Linked DNA regions of Tamandua tetradactyla. The protein of the gene in region 1 purifies or fractionates together with the protein of each later gene. This does not show direct contact. Links are inferred from orthologs where the notes say so. Each region holds a gene or a part of one and is shown on either strand. Other genes may lie near its edges.

Region 1 (3,906 bases):
GTGCATAAGAGAAGTTAATTAATTGTACGCAATGGATGTCTAGGGCATTAGGGTTCAATTCTCTTGGGATCTAATCTTTCATGCCATCTGATTTATTTCCATTATAGCCCTCACCATACCCTGTAATTATCTGGTAGGTCATTTGTTTCTGGTCTGTCTCCCCACTCTAGAATGTGAATTCCAGGAGGGCAGTGCCCTCGTTGTCCAAAGGAAAGGAGAAACGATACATCTCAATGGGATTTTTGAGGTAAGTCTCTGAAAAATTCTTCCGAATCTCCTAGATAGATCGCGCAAACTGAAGGCACGGTAAGTCATGCCGTGTGACTTTCTGACCTTTAATACACAAAGGGAATCCTGTGGGGACCCACGAACGAGTTAGAAGTGTACTCTCAGCCCTGCTCAGTTCTTGTATTCTGCCATTCCTTGCTTTTACATTCTTAAACCGCGTCCTGACAGATTTTGCTCGGGGGAAACTATGAGACGCACGCGAACGCCACCGAGTTTCGTGTGACATGATAAAGGGAATTGCCTCGGGGAGCAAAGAGGACGACATAAACGAACAGGAATTGAATTTCTTCTCAATGGAATTTTGGTTTTTTTTTTCAGTCTGAAGGGTCGTGTTGGGGGACGAGGGAGCAGCCAGGGAGAGAAGGAAACGGGCGACGCGCCAGGGCAGCAGGTAGGACGGCACGTCCCGCACGCAGCGGACACCACCCGGGACGAGTGGGGCGGGGAGCGCGGGAGATGCGAAGGGGTCTCGGGCGGCTCAGCCCTCGGTGCCTCAGTTTCCCGGGGTAGAGGGCCTCGCGCCACCGCCCCCTCTGACGTCGCGGGGCGGGCGGGGCGGGGTGCGGGCCGCCAGGGGGCGCGAGCGCGGGGCGGGCGCCGGGTTGGTCCTCGCCGGGAGCCGAGCGTGGCGCCCCCGGGACCGCGCGGGCCGAGGCGGAAGCCTGGAGTGGGGGCGGGAGGCGGGAGGCGGGGCTGACTCAGACCGGATTGACCCGCCTGCAGTTTCCAGGGGCGGAGGTGACAGCGGGCCCCGGACCGGCGATCGCCGCTGTCCGCCGCGCCGAGGGACCGCCAGGCGCCGGAGAGCAGGTCAGGGGCAGGCCTGGGGCCAGGGCCGGGCGGGGAGCCAGGGTCGTTGAACCGGGACCGCGGACGGAGGGGTCCCGCGCCCGGAGGGACGCGCAGCGCAGCCGGGCCTGCGTTGGTCCCTTCCCCGCGGCGGCCGCTGCTGTTGGCCGGGAGTCCGGGTCCCTACTCGGACGCCTCTGGTCCAAGGTCAGGTCAGGCCCCTAGCGGGTCCCCTGGAGGTGGAGAGGCGGAGAGACCGGGTGGCCCCCCGGTCCGGGATGCGAACGTGGGCGTTTTTGATGTCCAGCCCAGGACTCTTTTCACTGCACCGCCCTGCTAGTCCCTCAAAGGGGCGGAATTTGCGAGCTGGAAAGGAATCTAGCAATAGTCCAGCCCCCTTGTTTTACAGATGAAGAAATTCTTCTAGCTTGTCTAGAGTCTCACATCCAGTCGGTTTAAGAGCCCATGATTTCTCTGTCAGGGTGACTCGAGGATGGATGGTTTCCGAAGTTAGAGTTTAAATTTGTTGGGCTACAGCTGCAAGTTTGGTGATGGTGGAGTTTTACAGTTATTCACGGATACCTACCTTCATTCTTGCAGCAGTTACTGATGTCCACCAGGCATCAATTTCACAGAGCACTTACCTTGAAAAGAGTTAGGTTGCTGGCAGTTGAATAAAGGAATACTGGGGTTACAAACAGGCCCAGGAGCTGTGGAGAGTGCTAGGTGTATAGAGTTTAACGTTTAACGCAATTTCAGTATCCCGTATTGTCTGTCTCATACAATAATGAAAAGTAAATATTTTTTGGCACTCCCATTATTCTGTAATATTGGTAACTGGCCTTTAGGTTAGTTGTATTCTTTTACAGTAATATGAACATCTTGTGTTGAAACACTTTTTTTTTGTAGTTAGTAGTGCCAGTGGTGTCTGGCAAGCTAGTGGTAACACAAATATTTAGGGTTTCAGCGTTGTTTAGATCTTCTTGTTTACAGAGCTGAGTTCTAGGGCGGAGTAGTGTGGATTACTGTGGATTAATCCATAATACTATTTTGCAAGATTGAAGTACCCCGCCACAAACAGTTGTGATTTCTCAGTGTTGCATTTATGACTTGCACGGCATGAATATATTCAAGGTGGTGAATTAAAGAATCTGTAAGGCCCCTTTCCATCTCTAAAATCCCCTGATTTTATTTAATTTGAAGCATAACTCACTACTTGTGAAAACAACCAGCAATTGTGTTTTCAAGTGTTCACACATCAGAGACTGAAATGGAGTGTTTCATACATGGTGGAGAATAGTTGAGGTCTGCCCTGCGAATGGGGTCTGTACAGAGCCGCAGATACCTTTTGCAATAAGCTGAGAACATTCTGACTTAGAAAATATAAAATTCTTTTATTCAGTGTTCATATTGTGTGCCTTTTTGACTGAGATATAATCGTGATCTTTATGGGCTACTCTGCCCAAATATGTGTGTTATTTCTTTTGTCTTGCAGTCCCAAAGCAGAGCCATTCCCTCTTCTTGTTTCGATCAATCTCTGCATCCTTCTTTGCCTTCCTTCTTCTCTGACTACCACTCTTACCTGCAAGACCCTTATCTCATTCTTCTCAACATCAACACAATTCAGAGCCTCCTTCAAGCACTGATTGAACTTATGCTACTTTTTACTCTTCTCAAAGAACATGATAAATCGTGAATCTTGAATCACTATTTAAGATCTCCTAAAAATTGAGATCATTTAAACATTTCACTTTTCAATCATAGTGCAAGACTTTGTGAAGCTCTGGTTCTGAAAAAGGGGTAAGTAGGCCAGGCTTAGATTTTTATGTCCTGAATGCTTAGAAACTGTGACACAGGAAGCCTCCAGAGCTGGTCAAGTCATTTATCTCTGCTTTAGAAAGAAACCCTTTCTGCGTGATCTGTAGAGAATTTTCAAATTATTATTCTTGATCTTTGCAGTCCATCACTGTCAGGCTAAATTAAGCAAAACAGGGTTTTTCAAATTACAGATAGTTTAGTGATAAATTTGTTGAAGGAATTTTTTTCTAATGATAAAATCACTGCAAGGGCAAAGTGGCGGCAGATGAGAGACGGTGGGCATGGGGCGGGAGGCAGATCACTTTTTCTAATGATAAAATAGAGTGTGAATGGAGACTTGCCTACCAAAAGTGTTAACTTTGGGTTTACTTTGTCCTTGATGCTATAAAAGGAAATCATAGAAGATAAAATGGGCATAGAGTAGCTAAATTGTGTTCTTTCTTTTTTCTTAGATTTGTTCTTCTAAATTGAAGGACATGACCACCAAGAACTGAGGCGACATGGTAGAGCAAATAGGGCGTTGGGCTAAGATTCTGAAGGCCTGGGTTTTATTCATTCAAGACAGATATTTTTTGAGCACCTGCACATGCCAGGCACTATTCTGGGATACAGTCATGAACAAAACAGACAAAGTCCTGTCCTTGAGGGGTAGATATTCTGGCGGGGGTAGGAGGAAGACAATATGTGAATAGACAGAAGTGTCAGATGATTGTAAGTACTCCTGATGATTTAAAGCAGTGTAAGTGGGAAAGGAGTGTGTTTGTGTGTGGTGGGAGATGGACTTTTTATAGATAATGACCAGAAAAGGCCTCTACTGAAAGTTTTTGATGTGAGACTTGAAGGAATTGAGGGAGTGAGCAAGTAGCAGAGGAATGAGTGTGTTTCCAGCCCTGATGCAGAAGTGTGCTTGCCATATGTGACCAACAGCAAGATCCTGGTGGCAGGGCAGTGCGGATGTGGGCGAGGGCAAAGTGGCAGCAGATGAGAGGCGGTGGACGTGGGGAGAGATAG
Region 2 (3,906 bases), on another chromosome or scaffold:
CGAGTGTTGTGAGCAGGGGAGGGACAGGGCCTGACTCACATCTTATTGAGTTTTGCTTTGATTTCTGAGGGGTGAATGCGTTATATTGGGCGCTGAGGTAAGAACTTTGGAAAGCCTTCCGACTACTCTAAGGCGGATGGCATTGTCCCATTTAACAGATGCAGAAGCTGAGGTCGGAGCTGTGATCTGGGCCAGCCCAGATGATCCTAGAAAGGGAATGGCGGGACCTGGGTTCCATCTGGAGTGTGGAGGGCCCCAGAGCCATAGCCATTCATTGCCATAGGCTACATCCTTCTTTGCTCCTCCTGGCTGAGACAGGAGCTCAAGGGCGGGGCTCTCTGTGGAGGGATTCCTGTGCAGGGAGGAACCCATAGGTGTGGGGGTACGGGGGTGGAGCAGTGTCACAAGTGCAAATGGGACAGCCCAGTGGGCCCTGACCTGCACTCTGATGGGGAGTGGGGGTGGGGGCAGGGCCAGACCTTAGCTCCGTGAAAAATGAATCAGCTGGAAGATGCCAGTTAGGAAGATGTCACTTGAGACGGGTGGTAGTGAGGGAGGGTGTTTCATATTGGGGGTAGGGAGGAGGCAGCCGGTCATGCAGATGCTGCAGGAAGAGGGTTCCATCCTGAGGGTACCGCTGTGCAAAGGCCCTGAGGTAGGACTTTGCTTGGTGTTTGCGGAGCCTGGTGTGGTGAGACTGGAGGGAGTGAGAATTGGGGAGAGTGAGAGGAGGGGACGGGGCAGGTAGAGCAGCACATGATGGGCTTTTGCTCCAGATGAGATGGGAGAAATGGAGGGTTCTCAGCAGGGGAGGCCCGCCCCCCCCCCCCCTCAGGGCTTCACAGGTACTCGCTAGCTGCTGTGGGGCTGGGTGCCTGGGAGCTATGACTGTGTGGGTCCAGGCAAGCGATGATGGCAGCGATGGGGCCTGGGCTTTGGGTGATGGCTTTGTTTGTGGGGACAGTAGGCAGTTCAGGCTTGGTTTGCAGGTGGAACAGCAGGACCTGCTGTGGCTGGGGTGAGGGGTGGGAGGCACCCTGGGTCTCCAGCCTGTGTCAGGTTGTGCCCATCCTGCCTGCGCCTGGGTGGCCACGAGGGTGGGAGATGCTTGTCCTGGAGCTGCTGGACCCTAAGGCCTGGATTCCTGCAGAAAGGTGCTGGGAGGGTTGGGGTCTCAGGGGTGCATGACTGGAAGACCAGGCTCAGGAGGCTGAGCTTTGACCGCTACTCCTGTTCTAGCAAAACCAGAAAGGAGGCCCCTGGGGAGGCGGCGGGGGGAGTCAGCCTCGCTGATATCTCACCCATGTTCTCATCCCAGCTCTGTCCCTTCCCTACGAGTTTCCTGGGGAGGCCCTGGCCCTCTGAGCCTGGTTGACCCATCTGTGAAATGGGGCGGGGGGGGCGGCGTGTGATCCTGGCATCACCCCCTTGGGATTGCTTGAGGATTTCCTGCGCCATTGCCCAGTAAGGGGTTAGAACCCGGCCAGGTGGGCGGCCTGTGCCCTGAGTGGACTTCTCCCGTGGCTGTAGCTGTGCAGAGAGCAGAGCAGGCCATAGTAATGCCCCGTTATGCCCCCTCCCCCGGGCCCCAGCCCAGCCCCTTGGCTGGGTGTGTCCCACTGACTCATTCCTGGTTTCCTTATCTGTTTGTTTTCCCTCTCCTGGAAAGGGCATCCCCACCCTCCTGGGGACTAGAAGTCAAAGGCTCTTCGTGGGGCTTTGCCCTCTGTTCCACACAGCAACTAGACAGCCTCTGCTCTGCCTGCGGTGCCCCCTCCTGGCCGTCCTGGCCTCCCAGCAGGGAGAGCAGACCCATTTTACAGAGCAGGTAAGCTGAGGCTCCGAGAGGGCAACATAGCCCTCACCGGGTCACCCAGCCAGCTGGGCTCCCTGCAGGGATGGGCAGCGTCCTCCTGTCCCTCAGGCAGAGGTGGCAGAGCTGGTCTTGACCTGGCTGCCTGATTCCTGAGCCTGTGTTCATCCTGCTCATGCCCCAGCCACCTCCTGAGCACCTGCTACCTGCCAGCCTCGTCCTGGGAGCTGGGAATCCAGCCATGCCTGTCCCCAGGTGAGGGCCCATTGGAGGCCCTGCTGGTGGGCGTGGGGAAGGGGCCTGCACTTGGGAGAGAGGACTGCAATCCACTATATCTGTGCCTGAGCAGAGACAGGCAGGGCCTGTGGGGAAGGGTTTCCTGGCAGTGGGAAGAGCCCCTGCAAAGGCTTAGAGGCCAGAAGGAGGGCACAGAGACGTAGGGGGCAGGGGGCAGGATTGTGGGTGGTGTGGGCAGGGTGGGGCTGAGGATGAGGGAAGTGGTCAGAGCATGACTGGTCGTGTGGCCTTGTGGGGGCGGGCTGAGGGAAGAGACCTGGAGGCAAGGAGGCTGGGCCTTTTGGTTCAGAAAATAATGTGGAAGGAATCCTCCAGGCTGAAATGATTATAGTGAACACTTACTGAGTGCCTGCTGTGTGCTTGGCCTGTGTTCTGGGTCCTAGTACCCAAATGGGGGGGCGGGGTGCAGACAAGAGCATGCTCGTGCTGCGGAGGGAGTGGAGGGCAGAGAGGGGATTAGAACTGGGACCAGTCCAAGCAGCCCTCTGCCCACTGGGTCTGCCCTTCCTCACCTCCACAGGAGGTGGAGTGGCCCTGTCTGGTGCCCCAGAAACAGACAGGAGAGGCAGAGAGGCCAGCCAAGGTCGTGGAGCCAAGAGGCTGCCCTCTCAGGCAACCTGGCTGCTGTTTGGAAGGAGGTGAGGGGCTGGCCACTCCTGTCCCAGGAGGGTCCTAGGTAACCTCTGGGGCTGGGGGGCAGGGAAGAGGAAGCAGATGGCCAAGGCCTGACCGTGGCCTCCAGATAAGTGGACAGTCAGGGTTCTAGGCAGAGCTGCTTGGGGGGCAGCTTCCTCCCACGCCGGAAGCCCCAGGGTGCGCGCTCTTCTGCCCAGGCCTCTCTGGGCCCCTCGGTCCAGCTGTCCCCTCAGCTCCCCTCCCTGCCGCCACCCCCAGCCCCCCCAGACGGCCTCTCCTGCCTGGCCCCAGCGCTCTCTGGCTTTTCTTGGGCACCACCCGCATGCTTCTGGTCCTCCAAGGCTCCGATTGTCTGTTGTTCTTTGCTGGACTTTGGTGACTTCTGTGGCATCACCATTGTCCCCACGGTGCCTGGCACCACGGCCGGGCCCAGAGCAGTCACAGTGCAGCCCGTGCAGACGCCGGCTGTGCAAAGCCTCGTTGGTCTGGACAGCAGCCCGCGTCTCCCACCCAGCTGCTGGTGGCCCGAGGGGTCAGGTCCGGGGCCTCAGCTGCCCCCGGGAGATGGAGTTAACATCCGGGTCCTGGGGATTTTCGTCAAGGCCAAATGGGCCGACCCGCAGAAGGTTCTCTGCCCTGGGCCTGGCCCAGCGTGTGCTCCCTAGCTGTTGGTTGTGCTTTTTAATGTCATTTTATCTTTTCTTCTTTTGCTTTCGCTATTCTTTTTTAAAGTAATGTTTTGGACTCAGTAATCCACATGCATGCCGCAGAAAGATGTTTGAGAATGTGCAGTGAATCTCCGAGACCCGCATTGACAGGCTTTCGAGTTCTTCACACCTGAGCTGTTATTATTGGGTAACTAATAAGATTATAATCCATGGACAGATTTAACAGTGTGTTCATTTTTTATATTTTTATCTCCACAAGCATGTCCTCCTGAATTTGTTAGCGTTTGTGACCTTCTATTAAGAGTTTAACTTAGATGCAGTAAATCTCATAAATCTGAAGTACACACCTTGGTGGTGGTGGTGTTTTATGAATGAATTCTCATAACTACCAGACAGATCAAGGTAGAGAACTGTCATTGCGGAAAGTTTCCTTTGCGGTCATTTCCCCCAGGGGATCCGCTGCTCTGATTTCTATCACCTTAGACTAGTTTT

What was found.
Region 2: the proteins of DNMBP (region 1) and DNM2 purify together in Homo sapiens (co-immunoprecipitation; 3 studies listed by BioGRID and IntAct, with this or other methods). This does not show direct contact. The link is inferred for Tamandua tetradactyla from reciprocal best matches to the Homo sapiens genes DNMBP and DNM2.

What each region holds. Positions count from the first base shown.
Region 1 is NC_135339.1:61,444,107-61,448,012, reverse strand, and holds the start of DNMBP (dynamin-binding protein), read left to right. Parts: upstream 1-935; 5' UTR 936-1,098; intron 1,099-3,906. UniProt on the Homo sapiens protein: Plays a critical role as a guanine nucleotide exchange factor (GEF) for CDC42 in several intracellular processes associated with the actin and microtubule cytoskeleton.
Region 2 is NC_135337.1:91,084,321-91,088,226, reverse strand, and holds the start of DNM2 (dynamin-2), read left to right. Parts: upstream 1-1,544; 5' UTR 1,545-1,559; coding exon 1,560-1,828; intron 1,829-3,906. UniProt on the Homo sapiens protein: Catalyzes the hydrolysis of GTP and utilizes this energy to mediate vesicle scission at plasma membrane during endocytosis and filament remodeling at many actin structures during organization of the actin cytoskeleton.